2 linked regions of the Oreochromis niloticus genome follow. Each later gene encodes a partner of the first gene's protein in a complex. Links are inferred from orthologs where the notes say so. Each region holds a gene or a part of one and is shown in the gene's direction. Other genes may lie near its edges.

Region 1 (12,860 bases):
TCCAGAGTTTTGCCTGCTGGTGATTCAGTGTGACAGTGATCAGGTGGACACATCCTCTAACGTCAGACACGCTTAAAGACACACACGTGCATGCGTGTTCCCACACATCTCTGCCCCGAAACAAGAACCTGATACCCAGAAGCACCTGCTGCACCTGCCACACACCTGGCCCTCTAATCAGTGTTCATGTGTGAAAAATGAAAGGAGAATCGCAGCCTGCTCTGAGAGCACACACGCTGCAGGCGAGGCAGATTTAGTTTTTTAAGTAAAATGCATCAGGTGAGAGACTAGTCTGCAGTTAAGTGTTTATATTCATCTTTTTAAAACTGTTTTACGGTGTTGGATGCTGTAAAGTAATGCGCAGGAACTAAAAAAAAAAAAAAAGAATTAAATTAAATAAAAAAATCCCCCTCCCCCTGCTCTTAGCTTCCTTATTTCACCCTGCCCCCGCCGCCTCCTCTTCCTCAACCTCTTTCTGTCTGAGCCCTCCAACCCCATCCTCACCCTCTGGGGGAGCACTTAACTCTGTGCCTGATCGACCAGCCCACCGTGGAGCGCGGCTCTGGAATGGCGTCTGCGGTGTTCTCAGTGGCGCTCTGCCACCTCGGCAAAGCACACAGCGCAAAGCCACGACAGAGCCACCAGAGCCACCAGGCGATCGACCGCTTCAGAGTGGCCTGTGCAGAAAGGCAGTCATCGATCTCTCCCCGGGAGCTCACGCTCATAGAGAAAGAAGGGGTAGGGAGAGCGGGAAGAAAGACAGGGAAGCGGAATTGTGTGGCGAGAGGTCTGAAAGCCGCGCTGAAAGGAGGGCCGGAGTGACTCTGCAGCGGCAAACACAACAAACAAAAGAGTCACATAAACAAACAGTAAATAAGCTTCGGATAATGGATACCTCAAAGTGAGACGGGTCTCAGTGGCAGCCTCCCCTGCAGCACAGCTCGTAGTGCGCCTGTATGTGTGTGTGTTTGTGTTTGGGGGGCTGGACACCCTGTTCTCTGCAGAATGAGTTAGTGTCACATTAAGCCTTGTACAAGTGCCACTGGAGTTGCTATGGGCAGCAGTGTGTGTATTTCTAATTTCATTTTGCTGCTCACAGGGCCAAATAATCAGCTAACTGTTGAGCACTTCTGTTCCGCTCTTTGTCTTAATTTCTTAAATTGCACTGACTTTTTTTTCTGTGCAAATGTTTAAAATAAGAAAATAAAAAATGTGCTCATATAGCCGTGCATGTGGAGGTACACCAGTGAGAAGGGGGCTTATTAGATTAGACTGAGTATTGATCTGTAGTGAATGAGCCAGGTTAAGGCCTGTTAAGAACATGAGCCATATGGGCTAATGAGGTGGAATTCAATATAAAAGAAGATGTAGCTAATGCTCTTTCAGCTGAATGAGCTCTGATGTATGTATATGTGTGTGTATTTTTTTCCTCACTGACTTTATTTTGGCCATTTAATGATTATTCTCCTAACATCTCTTTTTCCGTCTTTCTTTCTCGCGAATCTACAGAGCAAGTCCCCGGTCTGAAGGACTCAAAGCGGGTCGAGGAGTTGCAGAATAAAGTGATCTGCTGTCTCAGAGACCACCTGGGCTGCAGCCCTTCATCCTCCTCGTCCAAGGCCGCCCCTTCTCTGAGTCGTATTTTGGGTATAAGGGAAGAGCTTCGTTCCCAGAGGACCCAAGGCCTTCAGCGAATCTTCTACCTGAAGCTGGAGGATCTGGTAGCGCCTCCGCCGCTGATTGACAGGTTCCTGGACACTCTGCCCTACTGACAACTCGGGCTGACCACGCAGCAAAACGAACCCACATCACGTCCCGTCAAGGCCTTTCCCCAAAGGAGCATGCAAACACACCCAGAAGAGAGAGAAGACGCACTCTCTCTCGAGACTGATGCAGCGCACGGAGAGCCAATCAAATATTTTTGACTCGACGGGGACAACCAAACGAGAGCGCCTTTCACTCAAACGGACTACCAGCTAAATGCTTTTCACCTGTATAAAAGACAATTACTCAAACGCTTTACCACTTTTTATTTGGTCCTCCTGTTTCGCCCCACGCTGGGAGGGGGGGGAGGATGATGAGGCCGAGATGGACAGGAGAAAAGTGACTTTTTTTTCTTTCTTTTTTTGACTGTCCTCGCTCCATCTGGGTTGCAGCTTATTCGGCAAAAAAAAACAAAAAAAAAACAAAGAAAGAACCGAAGTTTATGAGTACTGTTTATCTGTGTTTCGGCCCGGCTCGGTCTGTCTGAGGACTTCCGTTTAGAAAGGAGGGCTGGGAGAGGTGGCGGTGTAAAAGAGAGAGTGTGGGGAGGGGGAGGTGATCGTTCCGAAATGTGCCGACATATCAGAGGTGGAGCGGCGTAGGCGTAGGTGGGCCGAAATGTTACGACGCAGGACGCAGGTGTTTCATAAACACATGGAAGTGGCTGTTGAGGCGGGCTCTTAATTACAAGTGCAATTCCTTAAGTGCTATCGCGCCACAAGAGGAAGGGATGGAGAAGGAGGGGGAATCTAATTTCAAACTCTAAATTATTTTAATACAAAAACTTGTCCTGTACTGTCAGTAGCTAAAAAGAAAGACAGTCTCCCATCTTGCTTTAGACAGCAGAGGAGATACTGTGCACTAACGATCGATGACTGAGTCACCCAGACTTGAACTTTCTCTACTATGTGGTTTTTTGTTTTGTTTTTTTGTTTGTTTGTTTTATTAAGTCGTTTTGAAATCATAGGTCGAGTAGGAGTGTGGAAGAATGAACATGGACAGAAATTGGCTTTGGAAGCACTTAAACCCTGAGAAGGGCTAGAAGCACAGACACACACCCTACCTGCTCACCTGGAGAACGGGGAGAGGAGGGTGCTCGACAGATAGCTGTACGTCCGGGGGTGAAACATTCCACGTTCATGCTCTTTTTCTTTATCGTTTTATATATCGCGGAGGCTGTGTGAGTGTGGAGGACATGGTCGCCTACCGTCTTTGTGTGTGCGCTTAGAGAAGCCAGGATCATATGCATGGTGTGTTATAAGCTGTCGAGAGCTGGCATAGCCTGTCAAAACAGCTCGACCTGTGTTTGTGTCTCAGACTGCAGCTCTATGGGAATCTCCCCAGGGCCTCCACCACCCACTCACACCCTCACAACGATGGCGGTTTTAAAATAAAAAAAAAAATCAAATTCTATAGATATAAATATATATAAATATATATATATATATATATATACAAAACTAATATTTTGAAGTGTTTTTAGCTTTTTCAAATATTGTGGTACGAGTTGTGCATTGTTTTTTGAAGAGAAACAAAAAAAAGAGAAAAAAAGTTGCTGTTTTTTCAATGTCCTTCTTTGGTTAGAGTTTCCTGTTCGATATGTTGTTTTTTTTTTCTTTCTCTTTGGTTCACTGGATTTTCTGTTCAGCACTTTGAAATCATAAACTAGTTCTGATTATTCTGACCCCGGCTGTGTCCTGTGTTTTGATTCTTTAAAGTTCATTGACAAAAAAAGAAAGAAAAAGCACAAACAAAATATTGTTTTCTATATAAGGTAACAAAACATCAAATTTCAGCCACATTTTTACATGGTTTTTTTTTTTTTTAAGTGAGTATGTGGATGTGTGCATGATTGTGTGTGTGTCACTTGTCAGACACAAAAGCCTCTTGACAGGTAAAAGGCCTTGTCTCTCTCCTGGGGGACCCTCGGGCTCTCACAGAGAGTAGAGAGGGATTAGGAAAGTGAGGAGGGGGAGGAAGAGGGCGGGGAGAAGAGCTTCATGTTAGCATGAGGTCCAGATCAGCCTCCAGCCTCGTTAAACACCATCGATCGGCACGGTGACATTTCACAGCACATGCCGTCTATACTGTTACCGCCATCACTCACTTGCCGTCCTGCACAACAGCGTTACTGCTAACACACACACACACACACTCTCTGTCTCTAACAGCCAGGTGATTGATAGCAACTGTTAGACAATTGTGAACAGCTCTATCTGTGCATGTGTGTGGGGAAGAAAAAAAAAGTGGGTAGAAGCAAAAGAAAGTGCACAAAAGTAAAGTTAAGAGTGAGCACGCACCACCACATCTTCTGTTTTGTGATGTTTAAACTTTCCCCTTTATGAAAAAGATAATAATTTTAGAAAGATGAAGCACAATGGCTTTCAGTGACACATACTAACCTGGAAATGCCCATAAACATTATCAGTATATTACTTATAATTCTGTGTGTTTCTGAGTGCATGTGGCACATAACAACATATATGTCCAACACTTCATCCTCCTTTGGTTCGGAGGTTGGTGGGTGGGGACTGTGATGTGTTTTTTAATGAGTATGCAGGAAAAAAACATTTACACTTTTTTTCTTAAAGTGGTATGATTGTGTACATGTTTAAGAAAATCGAAGTGTTAATATTCCTCCTATAACTGCGTTACATGTAAAATAACATGACACGAAGCAGAGAGCATGAAGAGCAAAATCTACGCACACACACACAGACACACTCACATGCTGAGCTGTCACTCTCCAGGCCGATCGATCAGTGCTGACAGATAGCAGATACCCAGAGTCTTAATTAGAGGTCCCATTAGAACATATAGACACACACACATCCACACACACACTCACAGATTCAAAGCATGTATTCCTCTGGTTCTCAATTCATAAGTTCTTCTCATAAAGCCATGTATAAACAACAGTACGCGTGTTTTCATGTACACATCAAGAGGACAGGGAAATTAAAATCATGACTATGTTTATGTAGCGGCTTCGGGTTCATGGTTCTGCTTTTTTTGGAAGCAGTGTCCTGGCTTATTGGACCACCTGCCATACTTAATGTTATTAGAAACACCTGTGTTTTCCTACCATGACTTGTCACAAAGTCTACCATGAAAAAAAAAAAAAAACAGGCCCATGTCCACCGAGGCATCAGGATGTGCTAATCACACCTGCCACAACAAAAAACAGTAAAGATTCATGAGGTAAGACGTGAATGGAGCTCCCTGCTTGCTTCCTCTCCTGCTGACAGACTTCCCGGATTAGACTGAAACAAATGGCACCTGAGTCCTCCTGGGACCCCAAACGACACGTTTAAACACACACAGTGGTGTTTCATTCACGCCAGATCACTGATTCTGACTATTCACTTAAAACGGTGGTGTCAAACATAAGGCCGGGGCCCAGAATTGGCCCATCAAAGACTTTAAACTGGCCCACTGGACAGCTTTGGAAAATGTGAAGGAGAAATTATGTTTTACAATGGTTAAAAAAAGGGAAAAATTCTGTGAATTAACAGAAGCTTTGTTTTATACCTAAATCACAGTCTGAGCAACAAGCTAACAGAGCATTTCCTGTAATTTCGCACATTTATTTCTTATAGTTTAAGCCCAAAGAGTCATGCTGACACATTTCTTTCATTTCCTACAGCAGCATTTCTTTATCGTGTAGAAAAACTGTGAACTGCTGATGAAATTACATGTAATTTTCTTATATAACATTTTCTTATATTATAACTGACAGAAAGGTCAGTTTCACTGGTCCAGCCCACTTGATTTAAATGAGTTTGGCTTCCCTGACGAAACCATAACCTCACAGCAAGTCTTCACCTTAAACCTGAATGATTTACATAAAGGGACTTCTTCTTTGTAAACAGATTGATGTGCCCACATCAAGGGTACTACTTACACACGCCCAGACACCTCCTCCCTCCCTCCCTCTCTCTCTCTCTCTCTCTGTCTCCACAAACACAGAGACAGAAACATTTTTTATGATGATTTGCTATTTAGGCTATCAGCTCTATTCCTTCCTCCCCCCTCAGTCTGCAAGTCTGGGAGTCCCCTGAAAGTGGACAGACACACTTGCATAAACACAAGCAAACACATATGAGCACAGACACGCACACACACACACACACACACACACATTAACAACATGTGTACAGCACCAGGGGAAATCCCCTGTAGCTGGGGACTGTGTGCTGTGGCCCTTCGCATTGGAGCATCCGCTGAGGGAAGAGTGTGTGGGGGGTTGGCCTAAATGTCAAAGGTAAAAGGTGCTGAAGAACAGAAGTGGAAACATGCAATAGACCCACTCACGCTGGCTGATCTCACAGTAGAGGAGGGGGAACCCCAGTCTTTCTTCCAAACGCAACACAGACAAAAAAAATATCACATCTAATGTTTCCTTCCACAGGATTGATGCTGTTTCACGCACGGTAAAAAGCTGTGTGGAAGATGCGCAAGTGTGAAAAATCTAGCATTTCTAACTTGTATTATTTATTTGTAGCACGTGTTCATTTTATTTTAAATGTCTGGCTGGCAAAAAAAAAAAAAAGAAGAAAAGAAAGAAAAAAGAAAAAAAAGAAAGGACCGTGACACATTTTTGAAATGTCATACATTTTCACTTTCACAGTGTATTTTAAAAAACAGTATGACCACATATCAGGGCTGAGGCCAGCAGCTTTGAAATGACTAAGCTGTGAAGTCCAAACACCCCGAACAAAACCCCAACCAACTTAGAAATGTTAAGTGGCCACAAAAAGTTCATATCTGTGTTAATTGAACTGGTCAGTTTCACTGTTATGTCATCGTTTATCTTTAACAAAGAACATAAAATATATTGTTTTAAATCTAATAACACTATTCAGATAAATAAGGCTTTTTTGGGGGGGGCAGGGTAGAACTAGTGGCTACTGCATCCTAAATTTTTAATGTAAGAAATTGGGTGCGCAAATCTTTTAATTTTTTTCTTTACATGAAGAAGAGATGATAAACAGTCATTTTCCTGAAGCAATAAAATGTGACCGATGGGGGAAATAAACACTACCGTCAGCGGGAGTATTATTTTAGAAACATGTCACTGATTTGCTGTCAGGACAGGCATCACGGGGTAGTGATGAGGAACATTATGTTTTGGGGCTGCTGATTGTGGTCGGAAACTATTCGCGGACGTACTGGGAGCTGTTTATAAACAACCCCGCTGTCCGAAGCGGCAGCGAGTTGTTGTCTGAACGTTTAAGTTTTTTTTATAACATGGAGGCTCGCAGTAGTCATTAGCGAGTGTAAATGACTTTGTCGAGTTGTGTTTTTACTGGTAAGTGTCGATGTGCGCCCTGTTAGTTTATGTTTTCAGCAGCGGGCTGATGGCTCTCTGTATCCGGGTGAAGTTACTGAATTAGCTAGTAACTCCGTCTGGGAAGTTTTCTGCCGTTCACAAAGCTCTTAACGTCCTCAGCAGTTAGCTAGTGACACTAATGGGTTAATTTAGCGTTACCTGCTGGGCCAGTCTGCTGTCATTAGCCAAACTGAGTGATTTCACTTTCTGTTCAGGGACAGTTCGTGCGACGTGTCCTCGAAATATGGACTGAAGGGAACAGTAGAAGGCGTCATCAAACTGTTTACGTCAATCCGAAGTTAATTGCCATTAACGCTGGAACAAACAAAACAACGACAAGTAAAATAACCTGGTGTTTTTGTTGTTGTTGATTTTGTTTGTTTTTATTGGTAAGAACTGCTAATAAGAGTTACTTTGCAAAAGTTTTTAGCCACTTGTATCTGGGCCTCTGGGGAGAACAATCCAGGACTGACGGTTCCATTGTGCTTTTTCTATTCAGGTATGCTTTTAGAGAATCTGGCAGTGTGTTTGGGATTAATGTCATTGCTGAAAAATGAATTACCTATGGCTTTCTGATTTTTTTTTTTTTTTTTTTTTTTTGAGGATATCCCAAGCCCCAAACCATGACAGAGCCTCCATTGTGTTTTACAGATGAATGTAGACACTCATGATTGTCTCCCTTGAAATTTGTATTCATGAGTCCATAACACCTATTCCACTATTTTATTTTATTTTTTTTTTATCAATTTGGTTTTTGTGCACACCTCAGCCTTTTCACCCCATTTCTGCTTTGTAAGAAGGGTTCTTGACAGCCATCCTTCCACTGAGACCATTTCTAATGAGGCTTCAGTGCACAGTTGATGACTCAACTAAAGGACCCGATTTCCTTTATTTCTTTATCAGGACACACTGCTCACCATGCCGAAATATTCCAAGTTCTTACCTAATAGCTGTTTGGGAATCACCATGTTGGTACAAACACACTATTTTATGCCTGTCAAACTGTGTGAACTTTGGCTTTTTTCATAGATTCGACTAAAACGAGAACAAATTGTGTATTTTTGTGACAGGCTGCCAGTAAAAATGTTTAACCAATTTTAAAATGTATAATTTAAAATTGGTTATTTGTTAAGTTTTCTGTTTTTTGAAGGCATATCATTGGTTTATCACTTGATTTAAGTGCCTTGTATATGCTTGAATGATACACATATCAGTTTTATTATGAACATCTACAGTACAGTGTTAATACAAAGCTGCAAGGCATGGATTAATTAATTGTATTTTTTAATACTAGATCTGTTTTCGCAATTTCATCTTCAGAGAGTATTAAAAAAGTTCAGTGAGGCTAGTTATCCTCACCAAAGCCCAAGTACATCTCTTCAAATGATAGTTTAAACATTAACATACACGAAAAACTGAAGTTTTATCTAGTAACTGTCACTGTTTTTTGTTTGCTTTGTTTCTAACATTTTTTTAATGATAGTACTTACTGTACTTAAAAACATTTTGGCAGTGTAAACACATATTATGCAGTCCTGTGGAAAACTAAGTACACCCTTTGATTCAGTAGCTTGTAGATCCAAGATTCCACCACATTATTTCAATGAGTTTGAGGTCGTAACTTTGAGCTTTTGCACCAACTTGATTCTTTTCATTTTTAGCTGTTCTGTTGTGGATTTGCTGCTGTGCTTGGGATCATTGTCTGCATGAACCAATTTGGGCCAGGCTTTATCTGTCAGACAGATGGCCTCACATTTGAATCTAGAATACTTTGATACACAGAGGGGAATGGCTTGTACATGTCTGTTTCCATAAACAAATGTTAATGACTTAAACTTAACTATTTGGTGTACAACAGTTTGGCCTGTTTAAAAAAAACAAAAAACAATAAGATGGTTAAATGTGATTTTTTTTGTCACACCTCAGTGTAAGTAATGGTCTGATCACGGCCACCCTTGTGCAAACTGTCTGGTTATGCCACCGGACGCTGGCCTTTTGAGGTGACAGTTTTAAATGCAGACGGAGTTTATTAATTTCGTATATTAAAATACTCTGCTGGTATTTACAGTATCTGTGGGCGCAGCGAGATAAAGCTGAGCAGGTGCCTTGTCAAAGTTACGCAGTAGTGTTGGCTGTGGGCAGTCAGCGGGACACATGGCAGAGGAAGGCAACAAGCTGACACTGAGGCGCCTGGAGGCACCGATCCACAAGTTCATTAAAGTGGCTCTGCCCACAGACCTGGAGAGACTGCAGAAACACCATAACAACATACTGAAGGTGACGGCTCAAATCTGGCTGCGCACAGGATCACAACCTCACTTTCAAACCCTTACTTCCAGCCTTCAGATAAATAACTGCTAGTTTCTACTTTCACAGTACCAGCATACCCAGCAATGGGATCGCCTTCATCAGGAGCATATTAACGCCAGCAGAACTGTTCAGGTATGAAGTGATAACCTGTGAAGTAAATAGAAAAGGCAGAGGCGTGTTTGTGTGTGTGTGTGTGTGTGTGTGTATGTTTGTTTAGTGAATGTGACGATTGTTTAGAGGATGACGTGACTCACTGCCTCTTGAAATTCCTGAACAAGCATGACTCTGCGTATTATATTTTTTGTCGCCAAAATGTGCACCCCATGACCTCTTAAATATCGGATGTTGATGTTTCTGATTTGTGCCTGTCATGTTGTTCCAGTTTGAAGATCCAAGTAAAGAGCGTAAAAGGGCAGCAACTGGTGTCTTTATCCAGTGTTTAAACAGGCAGCGTTTGTTGTGACGTCTGAGTGCGGGAGGCATGTGTCAGTCATCGTTGCCAAGCCTGTTTGAAATGATCTCTGACTCAAACAAATGCCTTTTGAAGCATGCCAGTATAATAAAATGAATACTGATTTGTGTGGAATAAGAGTCACTGAGCAACAGAAAAACAGCAGCTTCGCAGAGACAAACACTCAACACAAGGTCCAGCTACTTTCAAACGCACCTTTTGCTCTTCCTCAGCAGATAGTTTGTACTTAGGGTTGATGGAGTATTGTTATAACTCTGCTGGGCAGACAGGCAGGCAACACAGACAGCCAAGTTTGTGAATGTGATAACTCGAGAACAAGCCAATGTAGGACTTTCAAATTGATATTATTGGTGTATCTACTATGAATCTCGGTGACCTTGATCTTAAGGTTGGAGGTGAGAGGTCAAGTTTTCTGAAAATCTTGTGAATGCAATACCTTGAGAACGAGGGGACGTGGGGTTTTGAAATTCATACCTTCGGTGTATCTACTAGGAGGCTGAAGGGTACCGCTGGCCACCGCCAGTATTTTTTTTATTTATTTATTGCTTTACAGTTGTGAAGGAGATGTTTTGACAGTGAAGTATCCAACAGCAGAAACCACTTTTGAGACTGAAGCTATAGTCTCCTTCTCTATGTCACCAGCTACCCTGCATGATGTTGATGATGCCTCTGTTGAGCAAATCAATAGCAAGGAAATCCCAGTAGTCTGTTCAGCTGGAATTAACAGCATGTGTACATATACACACACGTACTTTTAGAAAACAGCGTTATTTATATAAATTTACTTTAAAAATCAGGACAAGAAAAGAGCTGCTGCTAAACCTAGAATCCATCTTTCTTGTGTTGTGTCTGCGTGCATGTGTACTTGTTCACATAGTGAGTGTGAAATGCCTCAGGGGATGTTGTTGCCTGGAAGCCACCATGTCTCTGAAGGTGAAATAACTCCAAACAGGCACACATCTATCCTCTCACCATTACCCGGCGAACTCTCAGGGGTGCACACAGAGTGCTTTCCCATGTCTTCATGGTGTAAATCCAGAGTAGGAGTTTGTCTGCCCTGCTTTAGATGTTTGTCTGTGTGCTTAATGTCCAAAGATGGGAAAATAGGTTGGTTTATGTCATTCAGAGTTCCTATTTTAATCATTAGCACTGCATGTTTATGTTGATTTATTTTATGTGTCTGGAAAAACAGCCCGTTTCCCTCCCATTACCATAACATACTCTCCAGCTAGCCTAGCACCAAGCTAACTCCCAAGAGAAGATTGCAGACCGACCTCAGTAGCCTCACTTTTGCCACACGAGCTACTGCAAACACTTTAACACAGGGGAGCGGAGTCTGTGCTGGTTTTATTTGTGGTGTTTGTGTTTGAACTACATACAGTCAGTTAATTTGCAGGCTAAAAGGCACATGACCTTAGTGTGTTTTTGCTTCTGTGAACAAGGATATGCATGTATTTTTATTCATGTCATGTAATTAGCAGAATGTGTTATTGGCAGATCTCTGACCCCCCCCCCTAACCCCATGAACCCAGGTCATGCTGCTGCCTGGAGGGATGATTGCTGCGATATAATCCTCCTGCCACCCTCAGGGCACTTCTTGTGTTCCTCAGCCTCATATCTAAAGCTTGCACCACTCCTCTTTTATATTCTGCTAGAAAAACAATGTGGGTGCAACAATGTATTGAAATACATGAAAGCATACATAGAAATACAGAATATGAGACATATCAGAGTTTTTTCAGTTCTAACAAGCTTGAACTTTAATACTTGGTATGACAACCTTTGTTCTTCAACATAGCCTGAACTCTTAGTCAGATTTCTTCTCATTCAAAGCTCTTCTTTGGGTGTTGGCTGCCTTTTCTTCCATTCTCTGTTAAGGTGATCCCACACTGCTTCAATAAGGTTGAGGTGCGGGTTCTGGGGAGGCCAGTCCATGACTGATAGTGATGTGATGTTTGTTTTTCTATCTAATTAACAGACATATTAGTTAATTTAATTGATGTGTAGACACAACACTAGTTAATCTCTTGAGTTTGGGGCCTTGTTATGCTTGAATTATTCGTTGGTGAGTGCTAAGTGGTTTAAGAAACAAACATTCAATTCAGTTTTAGTTATACATTGCCAAATCACAACAACAGTCGCCTCAAGGTGCTTTATATTGCAAGGTAGACCCTACAATAATACATAAAGTGAAAAACCCAACAATCATATGACGTCCCTATGAGCAAGCACTTTGGTGACAGTGGGAAGGAAAACGTCCCTTTTAACAGGAAGAAACCTCCGGCAGAACAAGGCTTTAAAAAAATAACAGGACAGTCTGACTGCTTGGAAGTAAAATATGAAGGCTCAAAACCTTTGCATAGTACTCTAGTTCACATCATTTTGGCAGTACAACACACTGAATATGTGTGTTGTATTGCCAAAGAAGTTCTTGTTCATTTAGCCCATTTAGCAATGGGCTAAATGAACAAGAACTTATGTTTTCTCCTGAATTCAACTGATGTTATGTGTAAAGTAAAAATCATTTTGTTTCCTATTGTAGGTTTATATGTTTTTAGGCAGAATTGGTTTCAGTGATGGAATATATGATTGTTTTAGCTGTGAGTTGAATATAGTGAACTGTAAGGCACCTGCTCAAAGCACCAAAGGAAAAAAAAGTTTAAAAATCCCATCAGAAGCATGTTTCTTCACAGAAATCATTGAATTCAATTCACTTTTAATTATATAACGCCAACTCACAACAACAGTTGCTTCAAGGCGCTTTATATTGTAAGGTAAAGACCCTACAATAATTTAGGGGGTCATATGCTAGTTCTCTATGAGCAAGTGCTGTGGCAACAGTGGGAAGTCTCAGGCAGGGGCGGCCATCTGTTGCCACTGGTTCGGTGTAAGGGGAGGACAGGAAAAACTAACCATAGTGGTGTGTAAACGCATAATGAGTGAAAAATGTGCGTCAACCAGAAACATTCATCATGGGAAGCC
Region 2 (12,182 bases), on another chromosome or scaffold:
TGACCAACATGTAAATGCTTTAAAAAATTTATAGCCACCTACAGTTTAAAAATTTGAAGCAAGAGAGAAGCTTTTTGACCATGAAATAATCAGTTTGTTCAGAATGAAGACAGAATCAGTGCTAATAAATTACCATGACACTATATATAACTGTGTAAGGGTGTTATCCTTGTGAACTGAACCTAAACTCATTTGTTTGTCAAGTATGCATCAGGAAACTTGCTGATCTGAGTCTTTTCTTGTGTGCTTCTGCATTGAAACATAACTCTTGTGATTTAACTATAATGATTAAATTCGGTTGAATCTCTAAAAGGATTTGTAGTTTTGAAGTTTTGGATTACAAATTTTTGGAAAACTCACCAACCAAACTTTATCTTCCTTTCCTTTCACAGGCTGCCACCACTAACACCAAGTCTGCTCTAAGTGCCAGAAATAAAAAAACAACTCTACCAGCAGATTTCCAGTTTCCTCCAGAGACGCTCTCCCAGCTCAGCCTCAAACCCTCCAGCACAGTAAGACTTATTTCTTTTTGCCATTTCAGGCCATACTTTATGTTAGTATTTTGTAATTTAATTAAAATTATTAACCTTTTTTAGATACTTCTAACTCTGCAGACATGATTTAATATTTACATCTATTTTCTTTTTAGTTTTTTTAAATATGGCTTGCAGTATCACATGGACTTCCTATTTACCTCTCTGATGTAAAATGCGATATCTCAAAAATGATCTCGGATGTGTTTGAATCTCATATCAACTGTTTGTTTTGTTTTTGTTTTCATAAAATTGGGCAGTTTTACAGTCCGTATCTAATTTACTCAATATTTCCGTAATTGAGTGCAAGTTGTTTTGGACGTATTAATATTGATCAATCTGGTCTTGTTTACTCTAGTTAAGTCCAGAAGGACAGAAGAGGCTTTCTGCAGAGCTCGGAGAAGGCATTGGAGATTATGACTACAACAACGCCAATGACACAGCCAACTTCTGTCCAGGTCTACAGGTCTGAAAAACTCTTTTTAGCTTCACTTTTGATTTGATTCTAGGAAAGCTCATTTCAGGTGTTCATTTATCACAAGGGATAACTTCAACAGGTAGCTCCGCACATACAACAATCACTAGTATATATTGTTAGTATTAGTAAAGAAATAAAAATTCATATTTTTCCTTTTGTTCTGATCAGTTACAAATGCCTACGACTCATCTTTTCTGCGGCATTTGACATACTACAGATGTGGCCTGTGTCTAACCATATACATTAAATGTGATTATGCAGAACAACAATGTCTATCTCGGCCCCTGTGTTCAAGATGGCAGCAAACTGGCACCTACTCTCCCTATGTAATACATCAATTTGTTGGAAGACCAATAAATGGATATTTTTGAGTAGAATAACCCCACTTTTTCACCATTTAACCACATCAGTGATTTCCATCCACTGTTTTGCTGTTCCTGTCGTATTGAGTGCAGTCATTTATTCTTGTCTACTTTTGAGTCACACGTCACCAGCTGCTAGTATCTCCTGAACAGCTTGGTTGTACTTGATTGTGTGTTTTTGTTGCATATTTTGCAGGTACTGTGCTGTGCTCGAGTTTGATATAGTTCCTTATTTATGTACTAAATCGTGATCAGAGGCTGTCACAGGGCTGTCAGTCTCACAAATCCTTAGGCTTGTCTCACTGACTGCGCTAGGAAACAAAAATACATGGCAGTGCTATAGCAATTATATCTCTATATGACATTTTTATATCAGCGCGGCTGTTAAAAACCTTTTCTTTTATGTATCACACACCTGTGACTAACGCTACATGGAAACTACACCCTTTCTGCATCAAATCTTGTGGAAGAAGCTAAAAGCAACATCTAAACCTGCTGAGGAATGAAAGAATTAACAAATCCACGTCACAGCAGATCAACAACTGATTAGGAACCACATGTCAAATCTTTATTCATCTTCTGTTTCAGGGAGGTGACAGTGATGATGATGTTGAAGGGTTTGCTGGTTCAGATGACACACAGCCTTCGAGTGACAGCATGCCTCCGCCCTCACAAGATCTCGAGGGGGTGTCCACCTATGGGGAGGAGGATCTGGTACCTGAGCCACACAGGGTGAGCAATGCAACTAGTTTAGTTGTGCTTTAAGTGGCTCGTCCCTTTAGTACCATCTCTGCTCAAAAGCTTCTGCAGTAATATTTTTTTTATCATACCCCACTGAAAAATAGAAGATAGAACTGAAACAGCTGTATGACTTATGACAAATAATCATTAATAATGGATATATTATAAGCAGAATTTTTGTTTGTAAAATTCTATAGTTCTACTTTTATTGATTGTTTTTGTAGGTCAACAAGATTGAAATCAACTACGCCAAGACAGCAAAGAAAATGGACATGAAGAGACTCAAGAACAGCATGTGGACTCTTCTGACTGACAGCCCAGAAAAACCCACAGAGGTAAATTACACACCACGTATTAGCTTCTTTTTTTCTGTGGTGCATACAGTGACAAATTTAAGGTTGGTCATGCCTCGCATGCGGTGGGCACAGTTGCCTGCCAGGCGGCCCTTTTTCACTGCGTTTCTGTTTGAGTCTGTGTTTTATTACTTGTTCCTTGGTGTTCCCTATAGGGGGTGGAGACTGTGGAGAAACCTGAAGTGTGTGGAGAGAAAGTGTTCAGTCAAACCACAAAGACGTTGCTTCAAAGGTACAAGCAGACCTCTTGTCATGTCGGCCATGGCACAGCTCTAATGAGGAGTATCAGACCTCACCAAAAGAATATTAGATATAAAATTATGCTTTGAGATGTAGAAGTTTCTCTGACAAGCTAGTGTGAAGCTATACACGATTACATCACGGTGTCACTGAAATACTAATTCCATTAGAATCATGAAAGTCATCATTGCTGTGATATAAAATTCTCTGTCTCACTCGCTCTCTCTGTCTCTCTCTCACACATATTCAGATTACCAAACACAATGGCTCAAAACCTGTCAGTGGCACTGGCGTTTGTTGCTTTACTTCATCTTGCCAATGAAAAGGTGAGTGTTGTTTGCTGTATGTTTTGTTTATTTGATTTCATTTATTATTATGATGATGAATGTACTCTCCTCATGTTGGTGTAAAATGAGCTGCAGCATCAAGGGATGAAAAATTAAACCAATATCAAACTGCACTTCCCATAGCAGCCAGATTGGCTTTAAATGCAAAGATGGTTAAAGCTAATGTGATGTCACCCATTGATTTTGGACTCTGCACCTTGTTGGTTTATTGAAGCACAAACTACTGAGATGATTTGTACCACATAGTAAGCTATAATATTAGTCTGATAATCCAGTAAAACACACCAACAGTGCACACACAGTGTAAATGTTATGTAATGACTACAGCAGACTACACCTCTATGCTCCAACTCTATTATCTAGATGATGAGATGTAAAACCTTACATCTGCAGATACCAGACACATTTTTTGTACCAGGCTTTATAATGCTTTACAGTTAGGCATTTTAACATGGGAGTCTATGGAGATTGACTCCTTCTTTTGAGTCAACCTCAAGTGGTGGTTAGGGGAACTGCAGTTTTAACCTTCATACTATTTAAAGCATTTTTTGTGCCCTGTGGATAGCGGTGTTATCCTCCTGGAGGTTAGAAATGTTTCATCGTAGGATGAAGATGTTCAGTCAGAGCAGCCTCATGTTGATTTGCAGTGCCAACTTGAGGTTTTCCTTTGCTTTATCAAACATTTGTGCATCGTACATTCTGCTCTTCTCCTGGAGAAGTTGTGGAAAACACGAGGACTAATAGATTTAAATATCTGATAACGACATTTATTGCATTATATTCCAGTGCAGCCTACTCTTGACAACTTAAAGATGTGTTTTGCTTCCACTGAATTCATTACGTCTTTTTATTTGGCACAGTGTAGAAGAGTAAGCCATTAGACAGCTATCACAAATGCTGATAAGGCTAATAAAAATAAATAAAATTACATCCTAAATGACAGCTTTTGATATTTGATCATTAAAATTTAAATTATGTTTTTGAGGGGGGAAAAACAGCGGAGAAGAGGGATGGGGATAAAGGGCAAAAAACAAAAACCAACAAAATAAGCAGACAAAAAATACATATATCGATCACCTGGATCACCTGTTGAGAAAGAAAAAAGAAAACAAGCAGAAGAAAACGAGAGCAACAGAATAAACAACATCACGATGATATATGGGAATATAACAGTAAATACTAAATATTAAACATTATTGTGCAGCACGTAAGATCGACAGCGCACAGTGTGCTTTGAGGTAGGAGCCAAAAAGGGTGTAGTTAGTGTGTGTGAGCCCCCGTGTGTACACCTGTGAGCATGAACGCGCTTGTTTTTAAAAGGTTCCTTCATGTAATGATCTGCTAGAGGGTGTGGGGGGCCACAGCCCCGTCCTCCAGGGCATGAAGCAGGTATGGAGGAGATCAAAACTCCAGACATCCAGAGGCCCCCAGAACACAAGAGACCAAGGAAGACCAACAGAGGGGCAGCCGCGCCACTATCCCAGAAAGAGCTGAGGAGAGTCCCAGATGAGGGGTCACTCAGCAGCCGCGGAGCAGAAGCCAGGGGGGGGTTGCAGTGACGTGCCCGTGAGCTCCCCAGGCTCCAGGCCCCGATAAGCAGCCACCAGGAGTGAGCCGGTGCGTACCTGGACGCCCATCCCCGGACACAAAGAACCACCAACGCACCGATGTCTGAGGGCGTCTGCCACTGGCAGGGGGAGTGGTGGGGGGAGATAGGCCTCCATACCTTGGAGGGCCTGAGATGTCCCCAGAGAGGTGGCGTCTGATACCCAACCTGACATATAGACACAGACATACAGGCACACACAGATACAAACATCCATTCCCACCCTCATGCTCTCATATGCAATTACTCAACACTCAACCAACGTGGAGACAGACATAGAGAGACACTGTACACACAATCACACTCCCCAAGCGTACTCTAAGCCCCGGGTCTAGGTACCCTTGCTCCTGGAGGGGGAAACTGTACCCAAACCCAGGTGGTGTTACCCTTTTCCCTGCGGTGGGGGGAAGCAGACCACCCCGACTCCGCAGCAGCAGGGAGGCCCCACATTCCAGACCCCAGTCGGATAGCCAACTCCTCCTCCTAGCCCCCCCCACTCCAGCAGGCCGCAGAGAACAGGGGTGTGAGAAGACTCCAAACCTCCCTCCGCCCGCTGATATGTGCTCATTGCTCATTTGCTCATATGCTCATTTTTCCCCCTCTTTCTTTCTCCCTTTTCTTTTCCTCATTCAAGTCTGTCCCGTATCTAGCAAGTGAAAATAAAAAAAAAATAAAATAAACAATAAAAGGTGAATCAAATAGACCATCACAGCAAGGCTGGGATGGTCCATTTGGTAAAGTAAATCCGTTGGGTATCTTTCTTCACCTTCAGACAATAATTCTGATGGCAAAAGAACCAAACGGGACAGACAAAAAAAAAATAAATTGTGTTTTTGATCTGAATTTTTAAAAAATATTGATAATTTAAACATTTGTAAGTAGTATTTTTGCATCTTTTGGGGGTATGCAATATTTTTTTATTTTTTTGGGTGAGATCAGACATTGATGTGGTTTCATACAATCAACAGCATGAATAAAGCCTGAAACAGACTCTGCCACTATGGCCTTTTAAAAAATTTTATTTATTTTGCTTTAGCACCAGGAAATTTAACTAAGGAAGGAAACGGGAAGTTTGGGTGTGTAATTGGGCAATTTATTTTTCAGTTCATTCATTCATTCTTTATTTCCTGAAATAGGATGTCCAAACATTCTCATTCCTGATTGGCTGGCAGATGTTCCTTAAAGTTACATATCTGGTTCAGCAAGTCCACAGAGTACATTAAAATGTAGTACTGCTGTGTCATGCTTACAAATAGTCAGTCCTAATGTTTGTTTTTGTTTTGTTTTTTTTACAGAATTTGGAGCTGGTGAAGGTTGATGACATGTCAGATATCATCATTAAACAAGGCCACTGAGGGAATTATGAATCATATGAGGCTTACTGCTACTCTTTTCTTCAATTCTCTTCTTTTTCAGCTCTTTACTTTGTATAATTTTTTCTTTTTGACACTGTCCTGTTTCTATCTCCTGTCTCTACATGCTTTTATTCTTTATAATATAGTATAACATTTGTTTCTCCTTTCAGTTTGTGCAATTGATGCATATCCTGTGTGTAGCTAATTTAACTACTCAACAGCACACAAAAAATGTACATTGTGAACAGAAATAAAAGCTTTTTTTCTAAAATCTGATGGAGAAATTAATTCCAAAACATGCTACCCCACATTTTTTGTTCTTTGAGAATGAACAGGCAGTATTTCAGCACACTTAAACAATGACTTTCAAACAGTTTTCCCAAATTGACGTAATGCCTTTGATTATTTTTAGCTGCTTCTGATTCAAAGCAGCTTGCAGCAGTCATGACATAAGGGCATGCAATGACCAATATTCAATCTTCGTCACCAGTTTCACCAGACAAAGAAACCGGTTTGTCAGGGCTCAAGCTGCTAGCTGGCTGAAATTTGTGACACCAGGAGAGGGAGGAGTAACTGAGCTGAGGCCACTGCTGCTAATCTTTAAGAGTGCTGCTCTCCAGTTTCACTGTTGTCCCCCTTGAAACTTAAAAAAAAAACCCCGTATACAAATATGTACATCCTCGTTTACTATCAAAAATGCATTGGGTTACTTTACAGTTATGCTAAGTTAGAAAGCAAGTTTGTCAGCCATCCTGAACACAAAGTTCTCGGAAAGTTTCACCGCCAGCATATCATGGGTACATCTTGGTATGACGCCTTCTTTAACAATAGAAGAGGGACTGCCGCCTACAGGTGTTTTTGGAGACAATAAAGGAAGTAAACGTATGCACCTGCAAAATAAAAGCACGTAGGTCTACAATGAAAGTTTGATTCGCTTCAAAATCATTACAGTACTTTTACAGGTAGTGAAAATCAATATCTGAATACGAGTATATAAAATATAATGACGAATATTACTGTGTAAAAATTAAAGGAGACATATTTGTTTATATAAACTTTTTTTCTTTAATGTTTACCCAACCACTGTAGCCTAAAACGTTAGGTTGCTTTATTTTGGAAACCAAAGGGCGGAAACGGAGTTGTCGTTCACTTAACAGTTGGAAGAAGGCAATTAAGGGAGGAAAAAAACAACCAGGAAGTAAAACAGGGAGAAACGTATTTGCTTCGAGACTTTAAACTGGTTTTAAAAGGTTTTAAATCAAATCGTCAACTTTTAAAGAAAGTAGATCCTTCGGTTTGCGGATAGAGGACATTTTTTCCAGCAAGATGGACACTGATCCGGTAGGTGATAATGACCTTTGTTTATGTTGTTCAGAAAGCCTCCCCGCCGTCACCAGTTTGTTCAGCGACAGTCTCAAACAGGTGTTCTTCCACATAAATCAACTTGTACTTAACTTGAAACCTACCTCGACTGAAAATAACTTAAGTCGGCGCACTAACTTTTTCATTTTTGAGGGAGTAAAGCAGTAAGTAAAGCAGCTTAAAAAAAATGGCCTAATTACACACAGTACTCAGTACGTGTTGGAAATGATTTTTGTAAAGTTGAGATGCGTTTGTTTTCCATAAAATAAAGCCGCATACTTCAAGTAAATGTTTCCATTTACTACTATCTATTTATAATACATGTTACTAACTGATAAACGGTTGTTTTTCACGTATTTGAAGAATGTTTCACAGGTCGTTGGTGGAGCCATTCGCCTGTAGCCAAGCTCTGCTTGAGCAAGTAGCAGTTTAATGCTAACTTACCTTACAAAATAGATATTATCCACTGGGCAACACTTTTTAAAATTATTATTATTATTATTATTACAATTATTTTATTAGTAAAGGGGAAAAATAAACTTTTACAGGTAGAGCAGCTGAAGTGGCGTTTATTACGTGCTAAATTAGGTTTACTGCTGTCATGTTTTAACATTATTTAATGTTGGCACAAAAGAGGCATATGTATATGTGTGTGTGCGCGCGCGCGCGCGTGCCTTGCAACATATTTCTTTGCCTACTTTAATGTAGAAATGGCTGCTATGAAGACTTTTTTTGTTTCTTTTTTTGTTAACTAATAACACAAAAGGCCACATAATGAACTAATTATAATCTGTTGGCAGTCAGTGCTGTTTATTCTGCTGAACAGTTAAGAACGTCCAGGCAGTTCTTTAAATATCTGTAATGACTCAACATTGTCGACCTAAAATAAAAACGTTTCCTTCTAGCCTGCAGGAAAATCTTACTTCCTGTAGTATTCAAATCTCAATGTGTGTCCTCACAGATTAGGGCAGTTTCCAATTTGCCTATATCAGTGTGAGCAGTAAGGATTCAGTGTTTGAATAAATGTTTTGGATTTACAGCTGCAGTCAAACATTTTAACAGGAAATATCTGTTGGAACATTTTAAGGTGTACTTCCTTGATCATTTTCCTCATGCACCAATCACATATTTACAAGACCCCTTATCTGTCAATTTATAAAGAGAGACTGAAGTCACTCAGCTTACAACATATCAAATATTTGAATTGGATTCTTAATGTAGCCGCCTTCTGCAGCTGCCTTGGACACTTTACTTTCTGTTTATTGATACTTGATAGGCATCAGCCATTCGGTGGGCCTGAGTGACTGACGTCCTAGCACTGGTACAGAGGAATGAGAGAGATTAAACACATGTAATGAAGATATAACAAGAAAAAGAAAATTAAAGATGACTCCAGAGTTTGGGTTTTTTTTCAGAAAATTCTTCTGAAAAAGGATGAATGGAAAAGGAGGAAAAGAAGGGAGGGCGGGGTAACAGGAGAGGCGAGAGACACATGACGCAGGAGAACCTGCCCTGTTTCCTAGAGACAGTTTTGTTACAGTCTGTTGCTGACTCATGGGACGGAGTGGTCCCTGCATGTTTACTGACACACCCCCAACTGCACACAGCATTTCTGCGTTGAAATCACATGTACAGCTATGTGAGGTAACAGCTGACGTTTCTCTTGAATGCACACAGGCTCTTAGCAGACCTTCACAGATGTATAAAAGTGGTCAGTTGACAGCCACAAGGTGCAGCTCAAGGGCTTGTAAATAAATACTGTGGTTACAAACGGGTCAAAAGGACATATTTACATTATATGCTGCTTTGTCACTTGCAGACTCAATCATGTGGAGATAGTCATGTCCAATAAAACATGAAGAGGCCGGGCCTCATCAAAGACTTATAAAGGGATATTTTTGCAATTTAGCTGTGCACTTCTGTGAGTCTTTAGAGATTTTCCTGAGACAGGTTTGCAAAAGAAGTAGAACCTTTGATATTCAGACAGTCACTCTGACATTTTTGAGGTCTCAAAGCACAAGTACAGGAGATAGCTACCTGAAGTTTTCAGGGCCGAAGGACACATTTTGGTTTTGTTAAAACTGACGCTAAACCAGGTTAACATTTTTTTTTCTTTAACAAACTAAGCATCAGTATCACAGGATATATCATAGTTTCTATCTCAAAATTGCACCCATTTAATGTCTATGACTTGAAGCAAGAGAACAAAGTAGTGCTACATGCAGCATATGCTTGATTGATGAGCAGACTTCACTGTTCACCCAGCTGATACTTTTTATTTTTTGAATTGCTCTGCTTGTAGGCAGTTCATGCCAACGCTATTTTGTGTGCGTGTGTGTGTGTCGGGGGGGGATGATGTCTTTAAACATCATGCTTTGGTGGTTTTCTGTTATCCAAGGAGGCCCTGTATTTTTGGGGAGGGTTGTTGGGTTTGTTTTTTTTTTTTTGTTTTTTTTTTACATTGTTAAAAATAGAAAATGGTTTCTGCAAAGGGATTGCAGCTAACTGTTCTTTAATGACCCTTCTCTATACCAGGAGCGCGGAGGAATAGAAGAAATGCCAGAGCCTAAGGACAAGGTGCAGGCTTTAAAGGATCAGGTGGATGGCGTGAAAAGCATCATGACTCAGAATGTGGACCGGATCCTGGCACGAGGAGAAAGGCTGGATGACTTAATGGGCAAGACAGAGGATCTGCAAGCAGGGGTCAGTGTGATCGTGAGAGTTTTAACTTTCACTTGGCTGTGTGTAAAAGCAGGCTGAGATGTGGACAATACTCCCATACATGCACATTTGTAAATAAAGCTTGGTAAGCTGTGACCTTAGTGATACTGTTCAGTTAAACCAGAATAACAAGTCACTTCGGGCGGTGTCAGGTTCTCCACATTACAGAACAGAACAGGTGAAGTGTGGCCTTTTTCATGCCCTTATTCAACTTTAAGGATTTTTACAAAGTCAACTGTGTAAAATGTAAAATAAAAACCAAATGAGGTCAACTATAGCGTCCCCTAGCAGTAAAGCTAATTACTCTTTTATCTGTTTTGTTATCCGTTTGTACTCTTGAGGTTGTGGTTGCAGCAGGAAAAGACTTCTTAGAGCTTAAACAGTTGTATTTGACCACACTTACATTCCATTTCCATTCATGGAAAAACAAGATCTTAAACACAGTAATAGCATTCATTTCCTAATCAGGCTTAATGTTACAGCCATAGACAGTGTAAAAGATGGACATGGTTACTGTGACATCTAATGAGCAGTATAAGGGACACATGTCTTGTAACTAAAACAGATTCTGAAATACAATTTTAAAAACTCTTCTATACAATGTAGACGACTTTAATCTTCACATTTTGACTTTTTCTCAAAATACTATTTTGACTGTAATCTCAAATTGAACACAATTGTTTTTAATGTTGTCCTAATGCTCCGTCATACATCCCTCATTGGTTTGTGAAATCCTGTTTTGAAGCCATTTTTGAAAAAATGGATGTGACGAGGAGAGGTGGAGCTAAAAGTAAAACTGCGTGCTCACTGGATAAGGATTTGTTATTGGTAAGTTGTTAGATAATGAGTGAGCAGAAAATACCACATATAATCTTCCTTGGTATAATTAAGATTTAGTAAATAGTTTTTATTCATTATGACCTAAAAAGAAAAACTAGGACCATAAACTCACTAGCAAACACTTTCTAGAAATCAGGTCAGAACAATGTTTTTCTTTAGGCTTCTGAAGGACCAGAAGTCTTTTTGCTACTACAGCTGTCATATTCAAGTGGCCTTCAGAGAGACTGTAGGTTTAGGAACTTCCATATTTGCTTCATTTTTCGACAAGGAAGGTACCTCCATCTTTTTTAGGACTACCTATAATTCAGCAGAGTTTCTGACTTAGATTTAGGTGACATGACAGAGGCCAGGTTTCTTTTTAAAGACACAGAGATCTTTTAATTTTGATCTCAGTGGTATTTTGGGTAAAATAAAAATAAACTAATAACACAAGCACTAATTTGAGTTTCCAGGTGCTATTTTACACATTCATTTTACTTTACTTTTCTGTCACTACTTAATGTACTAAAATACAGGATGTGGTGAGATTTTGGAAAAGCATCACAGTTTGTGTTAGAGTACACCTTTTTACAATATTACCACACACTGCGAGGCAAACATCTAACTGCAACAAGCTGCCATTTCAGTCACTAAGTTTATGGTGACTTTGATTTCCATGTTATGTGTCTGACCCCCACAGAGAACATTCGCTCTCATGGCATCTATTCCATGAATCAGTGTTGTTTCTACAGATAAGAGACAAAATGTTAAAAAGAACCCATTTTAAATTGGGCACTTTGGTAATAGCAGCCTGTTCCGTTGGGCATCTTTCTTCGCCTTTAGACAATAATTCTGATGGCAAAAGAACCAAACGGGACAGGTTAAAAAAAAAAAAAAAAAAAAAAAAAAAAAATAGCAGCCTGTTACAGAAACATATTTTTTTCTCATTTCTTTATCTGAATCTATGAACAATGCCGAAGATGACTCATGACAGGCATGAAAGGTATTGTATAAGCTGAAAACTTTGTACAACATACCCAGATGCCATTTACCAAAAAGAAAATATTGAGGAAACGGGACAAGTGGACAGGCCTAAAACTACATCTACAACAGATGAAGAGCATCTGAAAGAGGGGGAAAAACCCAGCTATGACTTGACATCTTAGTGATGTTTAGCTGATCCATCTTGTTCCCTTAAGCCTCATCAGAAATGGTCTCAGTGGCAGGGTGGATGCCAAGTAGCCTTTTTTAAGGAAGGGAAATAT

What was found.
Region 2: the proteins of stx17 (region 1) and vamp8 are in contact, whole or in part, in a crystal structure (PDB 7BV6), measured with the Homo sapiens proteins. The link is inferred for Oreochromis niloticus from reciprocal best matches to the Homo sapiens genes STX17 and VAMP8. Residues at the interface, in NP_060389.2 of Homo sapiens: Ser171, Trp172, Thr174, Leu175, Asp178, Leu179, Glu181, Leu182, Leu185, Val186, Phe189, Leu192, Val193, Gln196, Glu198, Lys199, Ile200, Ser202, Ile203, His206, Val207, Ser209, Ala210, Asn213, Val214, Glu216, Gly217, Thr218, Asn220, Leu221; in NP_003752.2 of Homo sapiens: Gly9, Val13, Leu16, Gln17, Val20, Glu21, Val23, Lys24, Met27, Thr28, Asn30, Val31, Ile34, Leu35, Arg37, Gly38, Leu41, Glu42, Leu44, Arg45, Thr48, Glu49, Leu51, Glu52, Ser55, Glu56, Phe58, Lys59, Ser62, Gln63.

The regions. Positions count from the first base shown.
Region 1 is NC_031976.2:19,885,037-19,897,896, forward strand, and holds the start of stx17 (syntaxin-17), read left to right. Parts: upstream 1-6,895; 5' UTR 6,896-7,075; intron 7,076-7,311; 5' UTR 7,312-7,435; intron 7,436-7,519; 5' UTR 7,520-7,595; intron 7,596-9,164; 5' UTR 9,165-9,250; coding exon 9,251-9,373; intron 9,374-9,472; coding exon 9,473-9,538; intron 9,539-12,860. Other genes in the region: nr4a3 (nuclear receptor subfamily 4 group A member 3), read left to right, coding at 1,510-1,772. UniProt on the Homo sapiens protein: SNAREs, soluble N-ethylmaleimide-sensitive factor-attachment protein receptors, are essential proteins for fusion of cellular membranes.
Region 2 is NC_031977.2:6,103,627-6,115,808, forward strand, and holds the start of vamp8 (vesicle-associated membrane protein 8), read left to right. Parts: upstream 1-7,151; 5' UTR 7,152-7,341; coding exon 7,342-7,356; intron 7,357-9,912; coding exon 9,913-10,080; intron 10,081-12,182. Other genes in the region: ncaph (condensin complex subunit 2), read left to right, coding at 393-512, 892-999, 1,962-2,105, 2,339-2,449, 2,623-2,699, 2,958-3,033, 5,956-6,015. UniProt on the Homo sapiens protein: SNAREs, soluble N-ethylmaleimide-sensitive factor-attachment protein receptors, are essential proteins for fusion of cellular membranes.